Linked DNA regions of Cricetulus griseus. The protein of the gene in region 1 interacts with the protein of each later gene in a biochemical or structural test. Links are inferred from orthologs where the notes say so. Each region holds a gene or a part of one and is shown in the gene's direction. Other genes may lie near its edges.

Evidence for each region.
Region 2: the proteins of Dab2 (region 1) and Myo6 form a complex in vitro, tested with the Homo sapiens proteins (7 studies listed by BioGRID). The link is inferred for Cricetulus griseus from reciprocal best matches to the Homo sapiens genes DAB2 and MYO6.
Region 3: the proteins of Dab2 (region 1) and Fcho2 form a complex in vitro, tested with the Homo sapiens proteins (2 studies listed by BioGRID). The link is inferred for Cricetulus griseus from reciprocal best matches to the Homo sapiens genes DAB2 and FCHO2.

Annotation. Positions count from the first base shown.
Region 1 is NC_048595.1:340,199,598-340,204,189, forward strand, and holds part of Dab2 (disabled homolog 2), read left to right. Parts: intron 1-634; coding exon 635-1,291; intron 1,292-2,326; coding exon 2,327-2,480; intron 2,481-4,592. UniProt on the Homo sapiens protein: Adapter protein that functions as a clathrin-associated sorting protein (CLASP) required for clathrin-mediated endocytosis of selected cargo proteins.
Region 2 is NC_048597.1:191,082,139-191,087,322, forward strand, and holds the start of Myo6 (unconventional myosin-VI), read left to right. Parts: upstream 1-1,638; 5' UTR 1,639-1,827; intron 1,828-5,184. UniProt on the Homo sapiens protein: Myosins are actin-based motor molecules with ATPase activity. Unconventional myosins serve in intracellular movements. Myosin 6 is a reverse-direction motor protein that moves towards the minus-end of actin filaments.
Region 3 is NC_048595.1:317,588,553-317,593,657, reverse strand, and holds the start of Fcho2 (F-BAR domain only protein 2), read left to right. Parts: upstream 1-1,559; 5' UTR 1,560-1,679; coding exon 1,680-1,712; intron 1,713-5,105. UniProt on the Homo sapiens protein: Functions in an early step of clathrin-mediated endocytosis. Has both a membrane binding/bending activity and the ability to recruit proteins essential to the formation of functional clathrin-coated pits.

The DNA of each region.
Region 1 (4,592 bases):
AGAAATACAGTTGACCTTAAGTTTCATCACAGCCATAACTATGAAATCTGGAGTTGTGGAATGTAACTCAGTGGTAGAATGCTTACTTGAGATACTTGAAGCCCTGGGTTTAATTCTCAGCACTGTACACATGCATACATATGGTACACATATGAATATTAACCTATATATTTGCTCATTTAGAGAGGTAATGTTAGAGACTTTTAGAAAAAGGACTATGGACTGTGTGTTTCTCAGGTAGGAAGCTGGACCCAGTTACTGAAGTCAGTTCATAGGTCCAAACAGTATATTCAGATAACCATTTACAGTGAGTCCCAATTAATTCAAAGGCATCAGTTGAACCAATGCAGATAATGAACCTAGCCCATCTGAATGAATGGACAAAGGAGAGGATGAATTTAGCAAGATTTCACTCAAGGAAGAGCAGACCCCATGGAAAGTTATAGCTCACTGAGTAAGGAACTAATCCCCAGCTAGTAAACACTCAGGGAGTTGATGGGAGATGGTAATAGTCCCAAATTCTAATAGGAACCCTGGTAATCCTTGTCGTTTTGATGTAGTTTTCTCATTTGAAGTTATAACATGGACTAACACTGTCTCCCTCTTTCTCTCTTTTTTTCCCCAAATGTGCTAGGAAAGCAAAGATATCCTGTTAGTGGATCTAAACTCTGAAATCGACACCAATCAGAACTCTTTAAGAGAAAATCCATTCTTAACAAATGGCGTCACCTCCTGTTCTCTCCCTCGACCAAAGCCTCAGGCATCCTTCTTGCCTGAAAATGCCTTTTCTGCCAATCTCAACTTCTTTCCCACCCCTAATCCTGATCCTTTCCGTGATGATCCTTTTGCACAGCCAGACCAATCGGCACCCTCTTCGTTTGATTCTCTCACATCTTCAGATCAGAAGAAAGCGAATTTGAGTAGCTTGTCTACTCCGCTGAGTAAAGGGCCCCTGAACGGTGATACCGATTACTTTGGTCAGCAATTTGACCAGATCTCTAACCGGACTGGCAAACAGGAAGCTCAGGCAGGCCCGTGGCCCTATCCAAGTTCGCAAACCCAGCAAGCAGTGAGAACTCAAAATGGGGTATCTGAAAGAGAACAGAACGGCTTCCATAACAAATCTTCCCCGAACCCTTTTGTGGAAAGCCCTCCTCCCAAAGGACTATCGGTACCGAATGGCGTAAAGCCGGACTTGGAAAGCTCTGTCCAGTCCTCAGCACATGACTCCATAGCCATTATCCCACCTCCACAAAGTACCAAACCCGGAAGAGGCAGAAGGACTGCCAAGGTGAATTGTCTTTTCCACATACCCATTAGCAGAGTGCATGCGCGGTACCAAAGGGTGGTGTGACGCAAGCTCTCGCCCCTGCTGCTCTTTTAGCTTCCTGTGTGGCTGTGATATAGAAGGTGGGATAAGACACATCGGCCCTCCAGGAATATGCCCCTCTAGTCAACATTCTTCCTAAGCTTGCCAGCAGTGTTTGTCACATCTGCTTTCCGTTTGCATGTCTTGTCACTTAATACTAAACTAAACACAAGTTGTTGTTTTTTTTTTCCATTGTTAATGCTGCTATGCTTCTGTACCTCTGGTAAGTTTGATTGTCATGTTCTGGGATGGGCGGGAGAGAGTTCTTGTGATTCCCTTGGTCCTGTCCCCACACTAACACATATCCTGGACACCCATCATCACTGATGTCCATGGTGGTGGTTTAAAATTCTCAAGTCTGTCTCCTCTTTTAAATGTAATCGTTGATTTAATAACTCATTGACTTAGAAACTTACACAAATGCTATTACCAACTTCAGTCAAAAGTGACTCCAAGTGCAGCACCCATAGGTGATTTTTAGAAGCTCTCATGGGAATGTGCAGTCTTACCTAATAATCAAAGTAGTATTGCCTCTGTTGAAACTGATTGAGATCGAACGGATTGAAGTTATTCAGGATACTTATGTTGCCCTTCCTTTTCCCAGCTTCAAGTTTTTGCCAATAAGGAGACCAGACTGACATAAAAGGATAAAATGAGAAAAATAGATTTCATTTTGCAAGTCCAAAGTGGTATCCATTAGTCCGCTCACTACAGTCATCTGCGTCTCTTCCCCCACCACACACACACACACACACACACACACACACACACACACACACACACAGACACCTTACCTTTGCTCTTTTATTTATTGGTGTAAGTAATCATTTGCCAGTAATAATAGAAGATTTTTCCTTTATGTGGAGGTTAGCTTTGGGGTAAGGAGTAGGAGACAGATGGAAGCTGTGTTTGCCTTCAACCTGAGTAACTCTTCTCCCTCCTTCCCCTCCTTGTCAGTCTTCAGCAAATGACTTGCTTGCATCTGACATCTTTGCCTCAGAACCTCCAGGCCAGACGTCACCCACAGGACAACCTGCAGCCCCTCAGACCAACCCTTTGGATCTCTTCAAAACAAGTGCTCCTGCCCCAATGGGGCCCCTTGCAGGTCTAGGTATGTTTCCAGAGTTGGAATTAGATGTGGCTGCTAATGTCACTCATAGTGATGACACGCTGGAGTAGACACTTCCTATGAGGTGGGTATCAGATGGGAGACCTCAAGCAACACTCCTCGAGTTTACTCCTGCATAGCCTACACGCCTGTGACATTCCTGCCTAATAACTGAAATTCGGCTCTCTGAGCCGCTACAGGACAAGAAGTCCATTTTCAATATTTCCTGTCCCTGAACAGCTGGCAGTGGCTTTCAGAAGACAGTTGTAAGGGATTCTGAAGTCAGACCGGTTTCGATGGTGTAAAGGGGATGCATCCAGAGAGCCGTATGTGCTGTCTACATGGTAAAAGTAGGGATATGCAGGCTTTCCATGCCATTTGCCTTGATAGATGGAAGTCTGTCTCCTTTCGGGGCTCAGATCCTCTCTCTTATGTAGGTTAAGCTGGAAGTAAGGCTAAATCATAAAGTGAAAGTCTAAGTTCTGGGCTCAGCTCTGCCCCTAGATCTAAGTAGGCAGGGAATGGACACAAATCCTGACACTTGCCCCTTAGCAATTCATAATTAGTCATTTTTCTAGAAGAGCATCTACATAGAACTAGGAGGTAAATATTAGACAAAGATAAAGCTAGAAGGAGCATAGGTGTTTCCTTAGACAATGGGATGTGCTGGGGTGAAGATGTATTTCTGCCGGATCCACTGAGCTTTTGCTGCAGGATGAAGGTAAAGGGACACTGACTGAGGTCTGGTCCTGTTACTCTTCCTCCACAGCCTCTAGTCCTTTTCAGGCTTCAGAAACCCCAACAATAATCTTTGCCATCCTGCTGGGGATTCCCTTTGTTTCTTGCTTCTTGGCTCCTGTGCAAACTCAAATAGAATCTGGCTTGGGAGGTGGGGGACCAAGGATGAACTAGGACTCTCTGGCCCATTGGTAAGATTTGAATGGAGATCATGGCTTTTCCTAGTTTCTGTAGAACCAGCCACCAAGATCCCTTTTCTTCTTGTATTTCCTTTCTTCTCTCCTTTGCTGTTTCCCTGCAAAAGAGAGCAATTTCTTTCTGTCACAATAAGTCTTAGCATGTCCGGAGTAGGGATGAGAGAGGAGTTGTTACCAGTGCTGAGTAGCTGAAACCCAGGTGAGTGTGAGCAGTCCATAGGTGCCAGGCTCGATGTGATAGCACCGAGAGACTCTCCAAATATGTGGTGCATTTTGGAAGCCTCCTTTTTGCATTGCTCTTTCCCTGTACCCACAGGGAAGCAGCTGTTGTCTTTCCTCCATAGAAAGGCAGAGAACTTGCATTCAGGGGCTGTGACTAGATCATATCCCAGAGCTCTGTAGTCTAATGTCAGTGCCTTGAAGAATTCGTACAGCCAATATTTAGCAAGTCAGCCTGAAGATACAGCTGGACCCTATAACTGTTAATTTATTCAGACGAAGTGAAGCCTTTTGGCGATGTGCCCCTGTTGAGGCCTTGGGGTATACAACTGCAGAATACTGATGATTCTTCCAAGTTTGGACATGGAACTCAAACTGAGCCCCACAGTGTAGCCCCTGTCCATTGGCAGTGATCCTCAGCCAAACCATGGAAGGTTGTAGGTCTGGCTTCCGCTGGACCCAGCTGGGGGACTGTCTCCTCTTGAGATCTGGGAGGGGGGTGTGGGGAGAAGGCATTACAGTAAGCTGAGCCCTCGGCTTTGACTTGTACCCTGTGTTTTGATCTAGCATCAAAAGGTAATAAAATTAATGCTTTATGCCTGCACTCTCTTTTTCCTCATTCCTTGCCTCTACTTTCTCCAGCTGGACCATAAATGTTTTAGAAACATAATGAGTGGAGTCTGGGAGACGGGAATGAAGGCTGGCACAAATGCAGCCTTATCGAGCCCTTACTTCCTGGCAAATGTAATATTTTTCTTTTTGACAAATGGCACTCCCATTGATACCATCTATGACTAGAGTTAAAGAAGTAGTTCAGGACGAAGGGCGGTAAATGGGTGCTTCCTTTTTATATATTTATTTTTACACTTCTGAATGGCTGGAATGTCCAAATGGCTCCTTCCTTCCATTCACAATATTAAATGGTTTTGAAACATTGTCAATAGCTTTGCTCAAACCTAAA
Region 2 (5,184 bases), on another chromosome or scaffold:
CTTCCTCTTTTTAACTTCCCCACTTTTACTTACTTTTTATGGATTTGAAATGTTCTCACTGAAAGGTAGCTTTTACTTTTTTCTTTCTTTTCTCTTTTTTCCCTTCAAGACAGGCAGGTCTCTCTGTGTAGCCTTGGTTGTCCTGGAACTCACTCTGTAGACCACGCTGGCCTGGAACTCAGAGATCCGTCTGCCTCTGCCTCCTGAGTGCTGGGATTTAAAGACATGTGCCACCACCACCCTGCTTTTTCATCCCACCAACTGTATCCTCTCTGCGTGTCTGACCCTCCCCCACCATTTTTGTGATGGTGTGGATTGAACTTGCATCCTCCTGAGTATCTGGAATCACAAGTATGAGGCCCAGTTTGAACACGTGAAACTTGTCTTCTCTAAGAATTGTCCAGACAGTGTCCAAGTGTTTAGAGCCCCTGTGTTCAGAGGACAATTTGAGTAGTAAGTTCAACCGTGTGGGTTCTGGGGATCGAAAGCTGGGCTTCAGGCTGGGCTGCACGTGTCCTTACTGCAAGTATCCTTACTGGCTGAAACATCTTGCCAGCTCCTTATTTTGTTTTCTTAGTAGCTTCTTTTCCTTATAAAGGCGATGTTTCAAATTTGCATGGGAATGTAGTTTTTAATCTAAAAAAGATGACTCATATGACCTTATAAAGAAAGTAAAATTAAACAATTAGAAAGATAAAGCGGGTAAGTTTATTTAATCCTATAAAACCAGCCCACAAAGGATTATCATTATTTCGAGGCTAGCCCAGGCTACATGGCAAGTTCCCAGGCAGCCTGGTTATCCACTGAGATTCTCAAGAGTCCGAATAAACAACAAAAGGGGCGGGGTAGGAGTACAGGGGCTCTAAGAAGTCAATATGACATCGTGGGAGGCCAGCCACGGCAGGGAAAACTTCCTTCCGCGGTCCAATCCTCCAAAGGCCGAACAGGAAGTTGACGCAGGCAGGTGAAGAGCTGCGTGGGGAGCACAGGCCTGGTTGCCACCTAGAGACCGCATGTGAGTCCCTCTGCAAAACGCCTGTCCCCACTGACTCAAATTTCCTCCAGCTGACTCTGCGGTGCAGATCCACAGGACCTGCGCTGCGGGACTGGAAACAACCACGACTGGGACGAAGGGAACTTAGTGTGGCCACCTGTAGCATGCTCCTAGCAGGGATGCACCCAGTGTCTCGGTTCTGGGCTGCTTCCCAGCCATGAAGCCCCGCCCTTCCCAGGCTGCAAGTCATTAAGCCCCGCCCTTTTCCAGCTCCGCATTCGGGAGTCCTGAGGCCACGCCCCACTCAGCACTGGCTCTGCCAGGCCTCCCCTCCCAGTCCGCCCGCCAGGGCGTCCAGGGACCCCGCTCTTAGCAGTCGCGCCCACGTACCCCCCACCACACGTCTTCAGGCTTCGCCCCTCGGTTCCTTCACTCCTAAGACCCCGCGCCTTGCCGGTCCGCCCCCTCCTCCTCCCTTGGACTCCTCCCCTCTCAGCCCTCGAGTCTTGAGGCCCCGCCCCTTAGGCTGCCCCCGCCTCTTGCGCATGAAGACCCGCCCTTTCTCCAGCCGCCCCGCCCCTCTCCCACTAAGTCCCGCCTCCGCCCCGCCTCCCGCCCCCTTGGGCGCTCCGTAGCAGTGACGTACGCTGCAGGCTGGGCACTCAGCAGGGCTCCGGCCAGCGGGCGGAGACCGATCCGGGATCTGTCCTAGCAGGAAGCGAATCCCGGCGGTCGTCGTCTCCGGTGCTCGCTCTCCGCCGCGGCGTCGCGCTCTCCCTTCGCGCCCGCAGCCCCGCAGCCTCTCCGTGGTCCTCGCGCACCTGCCTCCCCGGGTGAGTGTGGGCGCCTGCACGCCCGCCTGTCCTTGTCGCCTTGGCCTCTGCTCCCGGCCGGGCTCAGACCGGAGCTCTGGCTTCCCTTGCCCGGGCCGGCGGGGTGCCTGTCATCTGACGCTGCTGCGTCCCCGGTCCCGGGAGTCTCTCCTGACTTTGCGAGATGGTTTTATTTTCTCCTTTTGGAAGCACACTGAAAATTCTACACAGACTAGTCTGTTGTCAGAAGTAAAGATCAAATGATGCCATTAATAATTTAGCCGTGTCGAAGACCATGGTGGCATTCTACGGAGCTGGAGTTTTAGTTCCTGAGTGGTCTCGTATCTTGAGTGTGAATTTTACGGATATGTTGATGAAAATTTTTTTTAAAAAACTAACTTAGTTAATTCCAAAACTCCTTAAACTAATTTAAACACGCTGGCTCTGGGTTGTATCTCTAAATAGGAAATGATTTAATAAGGTCATTCTTAGGTTATCTATGTCTGGAATATTTACACAGAGTTACATTTTATCTGGCGAGAAGTATGTAGGGCAGGGCTGTTTAAATCCTAATGTGGAGCATTGTTGGGGCGATCTCATATGTGCTGAATAAAAGTTTCGTTTGCTATCCTGGTACAGTTGTAGGAAGTTCGAATATAGTCGACTTGAGACTTTTAACAGCTCCTGGGGCTCAGCTGCAACTATCTGCACACCATAAAATGTGAGTCTCGATGGTGGTCATGGTACAAAGGTTGGCCGCCGAACAGCAGCATTTCTGTACAAATTAACTCAACTTCAAGATATCTTGGCTTGTGGTTTTCCAACTGGGAAATGTTTAGTGAAAAAAGTTACCTTAGTGCCCTCTAGCATTAATTTTAGAAATAGCCAAAATGTTACAAGGGGACCAAAGGAAGAGTCAGAAACAATGCAGCTCTTCAGAATAGCTCATTGACTTTTAAATGTCATTTTTGGGGTTTTCCATTGTGCAGGAGTAAACATGCACAGTGGTAAACAAGTCTTTTTAGGCTGATGCTCATCTGCCCATAGTGTTTTTATTTTGTGTGTGTGATCTGTTACTTATTTTTTTTCCTTCTCTTTTCTAGTTATGTATCTACTTTCAAAAGTTACTTGTAAATGACAGGGACCTAATACTACCATTAAGAAAAGATTATTGTGATTAAATGTAGTATAGAATATACATATGCTCTATTATCTAGACACATGAGCAAGAAGAGAGAACGACTATGATATTTTATGGAAACTGCCACCAGGTATTAAAAACAAAGGTGGTAAATTATAGTTCATAGGGGCTTATCTGAAAGGGATTTTCCCCTGTTTATGTGATCAAGTTTTAAAATAACAGTGGCCAGGAAATCTGAGAGAGGCCAAAGGCTCTTCTGTCATCCTGTTGTGACTTTGCCGGGAGTCTGTGGTGGATCATTTATTGTTTAGACAACTGGTCTGTATCTGGGTTCTGAAAGGCAGTCGCCTTTAGACAGTTTTAAAGATTTCCACCATGCAAGGTCTGAATATATAGGCAGTCCACATTTTAAAAAATTCACTAGTTTTAAAATTTCTCCTGGTACATAAGGCTCCACTTAGCATACATAAAATGCCAGTTTAAAAATAATCAGGTTTGGAAGTACAATACAGTGGGTAGAGCTCTCCCTAGTATGTGTGAAGCCCTGGGTACCAAAATTTTCATTTTTCTGTATTAAAACATCGTATTTAAACATAAAAGATTGATAAAAATGTTACAATTTGAATACCTCTCACACAGTATAATGGGGATTCTCAGAAAGAGATACTTTGCAACAGTTTATAAACTGGCAATTTAGTATCAGGGTGATACACACAAGCTGAAGGCTTGATTTACAAAATAATTTTCCAGGTTGATGGTCTTGTTGTTTTATAGAGGAGAAAACAAGAGGCTCAGAGAAGTAAATACTTGCATTGGCTTTGGAGGGGCAAAGTCCAGACTCTGGATATGCAGAGGAGTCTTCTGACAGTGAAGTCCCCCACCCTGTTTGAACAGGGCTTGCCTTGGGTTTCTGTTTGCCTGGTGAACTATTGAGACTCCCTTGTAGAACTGGTCTGGAGATTTGAAGATGCTGATAGTCCATGCATGGACTCTGGAGCTAATTGAAAATTCTGTCTTCTTCTTTAAGGCCTCGAGCAGTGACCCAATGCAGTAGCATCATTTCTGGTGTAGTTCCAGCATGTAATAAGTATTATGTGCTTTTCATTTTGATGGGCTTATAGGATTTAACATTGCCGTCTAATCCTGGATTGATTTCATTATAGCTGAGCAGTGTATGAAGTTTCTGTTTAGGATAAAGCTTCAATTTTTTTTCCTTCATGTGAGTTAGATTGTTGCTCCCAAATACAGTAGCTGTCTCTTAAATGTTATTCAATTAACTCTAACCTTAGGGGCTGAAACATGCTCCAGGCTCAAGATGTTCAGGACTATGAGATGGCTCAGCAGGTAAAAGCACTTGTCCGGAACCCTGATGCCCTGAGTTTGAGCTCATGACAAACAACTTCTGTTAATTGTCCTCTGACTTCCACACATATGCCATGTCACATAGTCATAAGCAAATAATTGTAATTTAAAAATTAAATATTAAGATGTTATCCTACCTCCATCTCCTGAGCCCAGGGATTATAGGCTTGCAGCTCTGCCCCTGTGTTTGTGGTGCTGGGATCAAACCTACTTTCATGCTAGGTAGGTAGTTCATCAGGGAAGTTTTATCTTTAGTCCAGGACAAATTTTATCTATATCTATCTATCTATCTATCTATCTATCTATCTATCTATCTACTATCTATCTATCTATCTAGTGTATATAATTTTTGTGTGCATATACATGGTATACCTGTGGAAGTCAGGGGACAGTTCTGTGGAGTCAGTTTTGGTCAAACTCAGGTCATCATGTTTGCATGGAAAGTGTTTTTTCACTTGCTTCACCATCTTGCTGCTACATCCTCCTCTCCATTTTCTTTTCTTTTTTGTTTTTTGTTTTTTTGAGACAAGTTTCTCTGTATTGTTTTGGAGCCTGTCTTGGAACTCACTCTGTAGACCAGGCTGGCCTTTGCTCCTGAGTGCTGGTATTAAAGGCATGCACCACCAACGCCTGGCTTCTTTTCTCTTTCTCTCTCTTTCTTTCTTTCTTTCTTTCTTTCCTTCCTTCCTTCCTTCTTTCTTTCTTTTTTTTTGAGGTAGGGTCTCACTATGAAGCACTGGCTGTGTAGACCTCTAACCCACAGTGATACACTTATCTCTTCCTCCCAAGTGTTGTAATTAAAGGCTTATACCATTATACCTAGCTTATACAATCAATGTCTTTTAATGAAAATGATTCATGGATTTTTAAAGAAA
Region 3 (5,105 bases), about 23 Mb from region 1:
AGAGACAGAGAGACAGAGAGACAGAGAGACAGACAGACAGACAGACAGACAGACAGACACACACACACACACACACACACACACACACACACACACACACACACGATATGTATGGTCTTTAACACCTAGAATTCAGGAGCCCTTCTTGCATCTAAGGGGGTAGTACCCAGTGATACTAGAATTGGATGTCAACCTCTTTTGCAGAGTGCACTTTCTTACTCCTTTTGGCAGAATTTTCTTACATCTTCAGCATCAAGGATAATCCAACTAGACTGATGGCTTATAGAACTGAAGCAAATATTTATTGTAAAGAAACAGATGAGTTAACATATACAAAGAAATTGCAGAGATGGCTCAGTGGCTAGGAGCATGACTGTTCTTTTGTAGAGGATTCATTCAATTCCAACACCCACATGGTGGTTCACAACTGTATCTTCAGTACCAAGGGGATCCCACACCCTCTCCTGGCTTTACTGGGCCCTAGGCACACACATGGAGTATATATATTGCAGGCAGGCAAAACAGTCAACCTCATAAATCTTTTAAAGTGGTATATCAGAACAGCATTTCCCCATCATCCAACCCCCAGATACCAATCTTGTTTCACCTGTACCCTATTCTTCTGCCCAACTCTTATGAAATACTTTTGAGGTCACAGATGTCTTATCATTACATGAATATTTATGAAGGACATCCTTATAAAGGCACAACCGTTATATAGTTATCTTTTACATTTCATCCACATGAAAGACAACGCATGGTTTTTATTTTCCGGGAGGAAAATCAAGAAAACAAGATCTTAGGAGGACCGGTGTGCATATTGTAGTTAAAACTACACTAAATTAATTTGTGGAGCTTGGCTTCAAACTTGCAGATTTTTTTGACCTGGCTTTAATGAACTTGAGACCTCTAAAGTTTTTGCTTTTTTAAACTTTTGGAAAGTAAGGCATGGAAAGGGATTTAGTTTCTCTATTAGGCGAGGCATGTTAAAACTTGTGTCTTTTTCCCTGAGTGTACAAGTTGGTAAGATTACCATGGGCTTTGTGAACAGGCCTGGAAGGGTCGCGTTTCGGGTCACGCCTGCTCGCGGCAGGCGGTCCAGGCTGCCTGGCTCCCTTGTGACCCGCAGCGGTGCCTGAGTCTTGCAGGCGACACTGGGCGTTTCCTCCCTTTCCGGGCTTGGACAGTTTTGTTTTGGATCTTACTTCCCAGTCAAGGAAAGGCTCCCTGTTGACCAAAGGTTTCCCAGTCTCCTCGGGGTGGCCAACGGCCAAGTTTCCTTACTCCCAGCCTGCCAAGCTGGGAGATCCTCGAAGGCCCGGACGCTGGACTCACGGGGAGGAGCGAGTGGGCGGGGCCTTACTCGCTCCGCCCCCCGGGCCTGCGGGTCGCTCCGCTCCCGCCAGCCTGGGCGACTCGCAGACTAAGTTCGGCCTCATTCCCAGCGAACGCTCGGACCCGGCCAGGCTGCGCGCAGGCGCACTCGGGACGCGGCGCCCAGGAGCTGGGCCAGCGGCGGCGGCGGCCGCTAGGGGGCGCATGCGCCTTGGAGGGTCGGCGGGCGGTCTCTGGGAAGAAGGCGGCGGAGGCGGCGAGAGGCGGGGGCGCCGTGGAGGCCGGTCCGTGTTTACACAGCGGCGGGCGGGTGCGGACGCGGAACCCGGCGCGGCGGCGGCACGATGGTCATGGCGCATTTCGTGGAGAATTTCTGGGTGAGCGGAGGGTGTCGGGAACACCGCGGGCTTCTGCTTCTCCCCGCGGCCTGCGTGCGCGGCGGGCGGCGGCTTTTCAGGCGGCCGAGCGAGAGTCCGTGGCCCGGGACTGCCCGGCCGAGCTCCCGCGTTGGCCAAGCCTCTCCGGCCACCGGGTTCTCCGGGCTGGCAGCTGCGCGGGGCGCCGGGGCTGGCAGCGCGGCCCGGGAGCTGCGGCGGGGACTCCAAGGGCCCGCAGCGCCGGGCGGGGACAAAGCGCCGACGGGGCGTGCGCGACGTCGGGCGCGGGGAGCCGGGCGCCCTGCGGGGTCTGCTTCCCGCGGCGCAGGCCCGGGGCCCCGCCGGAGTCCGTGCTCGCTCGGACTGAGCACTTCCTCCTGGGCGCGCGGCTGGGCTCGTGGGGCTGCGCCCAGGACTTTGCCTCCAGGCCTGCTCACAAAGCCCTTGCAAGTTGGATTTCACGGACCTTCCTCATTCTCCCCACACCCCTCTCGTCTGCCCGCCGAGTGCTTGCCTGCACTTACTGTTGGTCGATCATGGCAAGTACGCTTCAGCCCTGTGCAAGAAAAGTAACGTGTTTCCTCAGGTAGTTTGGCCGAACCTGGTTTTTAATGGCCCGAAACATGTAAATACCTCAGTTTCATTTTGGTGAGGTATAGAAGTGTTGAAAGGAGTCAGCTTCCAGTCACGCCAGCCACTGCTATGGCAGATTCTTAATTCTGTCTCAAGCACGGACTTGCTCAATAATACAATCACTTCATAGTTACTTGTTTCGAATGGTACCCACAAACATCTGTATGCTGTAGTTTTTTTTTTTTAAAGAGTGGTTTTTATTGAGGTTCCCTTTTCATGTATACAGTGTATGCATTTAAAGTGCATATTATGAAGAGTTCCTCATTGTTTTGTGCAAACATCACCACAGTCAATTTTAGAACAATTTCATAACCTCAGGAAGAATCCTGTACGGGTTAGCAGACACTCCCAGTTTGCCCCTTGCCTCAGCCCTTGGGCAACTGATATCTCTGCTTCTACAGATCTGCCTTTTCGGGACTCAGCATATAAATGGGACTCCTATGTCAGGCTTATTTCACTTACTATAATATTTTCAAAGGTAATCCATGAGATAGTACATGTTAATATTCCTTTTTATGGCCAAATAATATTTCATTCCACATTTTACTTACCCATTCATTAGTGATGGATGTTTGGTACCCATCATAAATATTCTTTGTTTATTATGAGTAATACTGCTATGAACACTTTTATACACGTTTCTCAGAGCATGTGTTTTCATTTCTTTTGGGATTGGAATTTACTGGGTCATACGGTTAACTATATTTGCACTTGATTAGCCAAAGGGCCAAGAAGCAGATGGTAACTGTATTACTAGTTCAGTCAACTGCTGGACTGTTTGTCAGAGAGGTTACGGCACTGTACAAATGCTCTGCAGTGTCTCGGGTATATGCTCACCAGCACTTGTTATCTGTTGTGGTATAGTATGATGGTGGACATGAAGTAGCAGCTTGTGGTTTTGATTTGCATTTTTCTGTGGCTAATGATGTTGAACTTTTTTTCTTGTTCTTATTGCCCATTTTAAGTATTTTTCTTTGGATAACTGTGTAGACCCATTGCCAGTTTTAACATTATCTTTATTTCCTTTATGTTACTGAATTCTTTTTATATTCTGGATTACTCCCCCCCCCCATCCCCACACCCCTGCGCACTTGTGGGCTTGTCCACTTTTTAAAGACAGTTTCCTGATTTTCTGATCCTCCTGCCTCTGCCTACTTAATGCTGGGAATATAGGTATGTGCCATTATTATCACCGCTGGGTGCACATTTCTTTTTTGTTTTTGTTTTTTGAGATCGGGTCTAATTACCTAGCCCTTGCTGCCCTGGAACTCACTATGTAGACCAGATTGGTCTTGAACACAGATTGCCTGCCTCTGCATCCCAGGCACTGGGATTAAAGGCTTGCACTACCATTCTTGACCCTTAGATACTCCTACCTGCTTTATTCCCTCCCTCCCTCCCTCTCTCCCTCCCTCCCGCTTTCTTTCTTAACGCAATATACAAACTTTATTTAACAAAAGCAACAGGTAAAGTAAAACAGATACCAAGAAAAAAAAAAGAAAATTATCTTTAACAACTTAAAATAACCTCCTTGTATTGCATTTAACTGAACTCTGTTTTTTTTTTTTTTTTTTTTTTTTTTTTCGAGACAGGGTTTCTCTCTGGCTTTGGAGGCTGTCCTGGAACTAGCTCTTGTAGACTAGGCTGGTCTCGAACTCACAGAGATCCACCTGCCTCTGCCTCCCCAGTGCTGGGATTAAAGGCGTGTGCTACCAACGCCCAGCTAACTGAACTCTGTTTCTGTGAAGAATACAGCTCATGAAAAGGATTAGGTGATCTCCAGGTGTACTTTTTTGAAAGAGGTTGTCTAAAGACAAGAATATGTGGTTTTGGCTCATGAGTCATGTAATGGACATCCTTCAGATGTCAGATGAGTTTTTGGTACTTGCTTGGAGAGTTCTCTGGGTAACATGACTGCAGGTACAGGTAGTGCTTGTCGAAATACTTGCCTGAGCAGTAGATCTGCTTATAGGCCAATTGAGTGGAGGAGAAAACCAGGCCCATGGAGCTCCATGACCACTGAAGGCCATTGCAAGGACCCCAGATGCACAGATACCTGGTGTGGAAATACCTTTTCCATTCTGAAAACTGTCTTTTTATCTTACAGATAACATCTTTTGCAGTCCAGTTTTTAATTTTGATGAAACCTTCAAGAAGTCCAAGCTTTTGTTATCCAAAGAGGCCTTTCTGTAACCTAACTTAGTCCTGTTTTCTTATAAGATTTCATAGTTTCAGCTCTTTAGTTCCTTCTGTGATCCATTTGAACTTAATCCTGTGTGTTGTTCAAAGAAAGGGTACATACAGCTTCATTCTTTACAAGTGTATGTTTATTTTGTTCTAGCATCTTGGTTTTTCTTTTTTCTTTTGGAGTCTTCTTGTGTTTTGGTGGCACCTTTTTCAAATATCACTTGACCATCAATGAAGGGTTTATTTTTGGATTCTCAGTTTTATTCTATTGTCTACTTTATGACAGTTGCTACTATACTGTTTTGTACATCTTTGTATGATGAGTCAGGAAGCAGGAAATATGCAAGTCCTACAGGTTTTTTCTTTAAAAAAAAAATTGGGGGTCTGGAGAGATGACTCAGAGGTTAAGAGCACTGGCTGCTCTTCCAGAGGTCCTGAGTTCAGTTCCCAGCAACCACACAGTGAGTGGCTCACAACCATCAGTTATGAGATCTGATATCCTCTTCTGGCCTGTAGACATACATGCAGGCAGAACACATAATAAATAAAATCTTAAAAAAATATTCTGGAGGT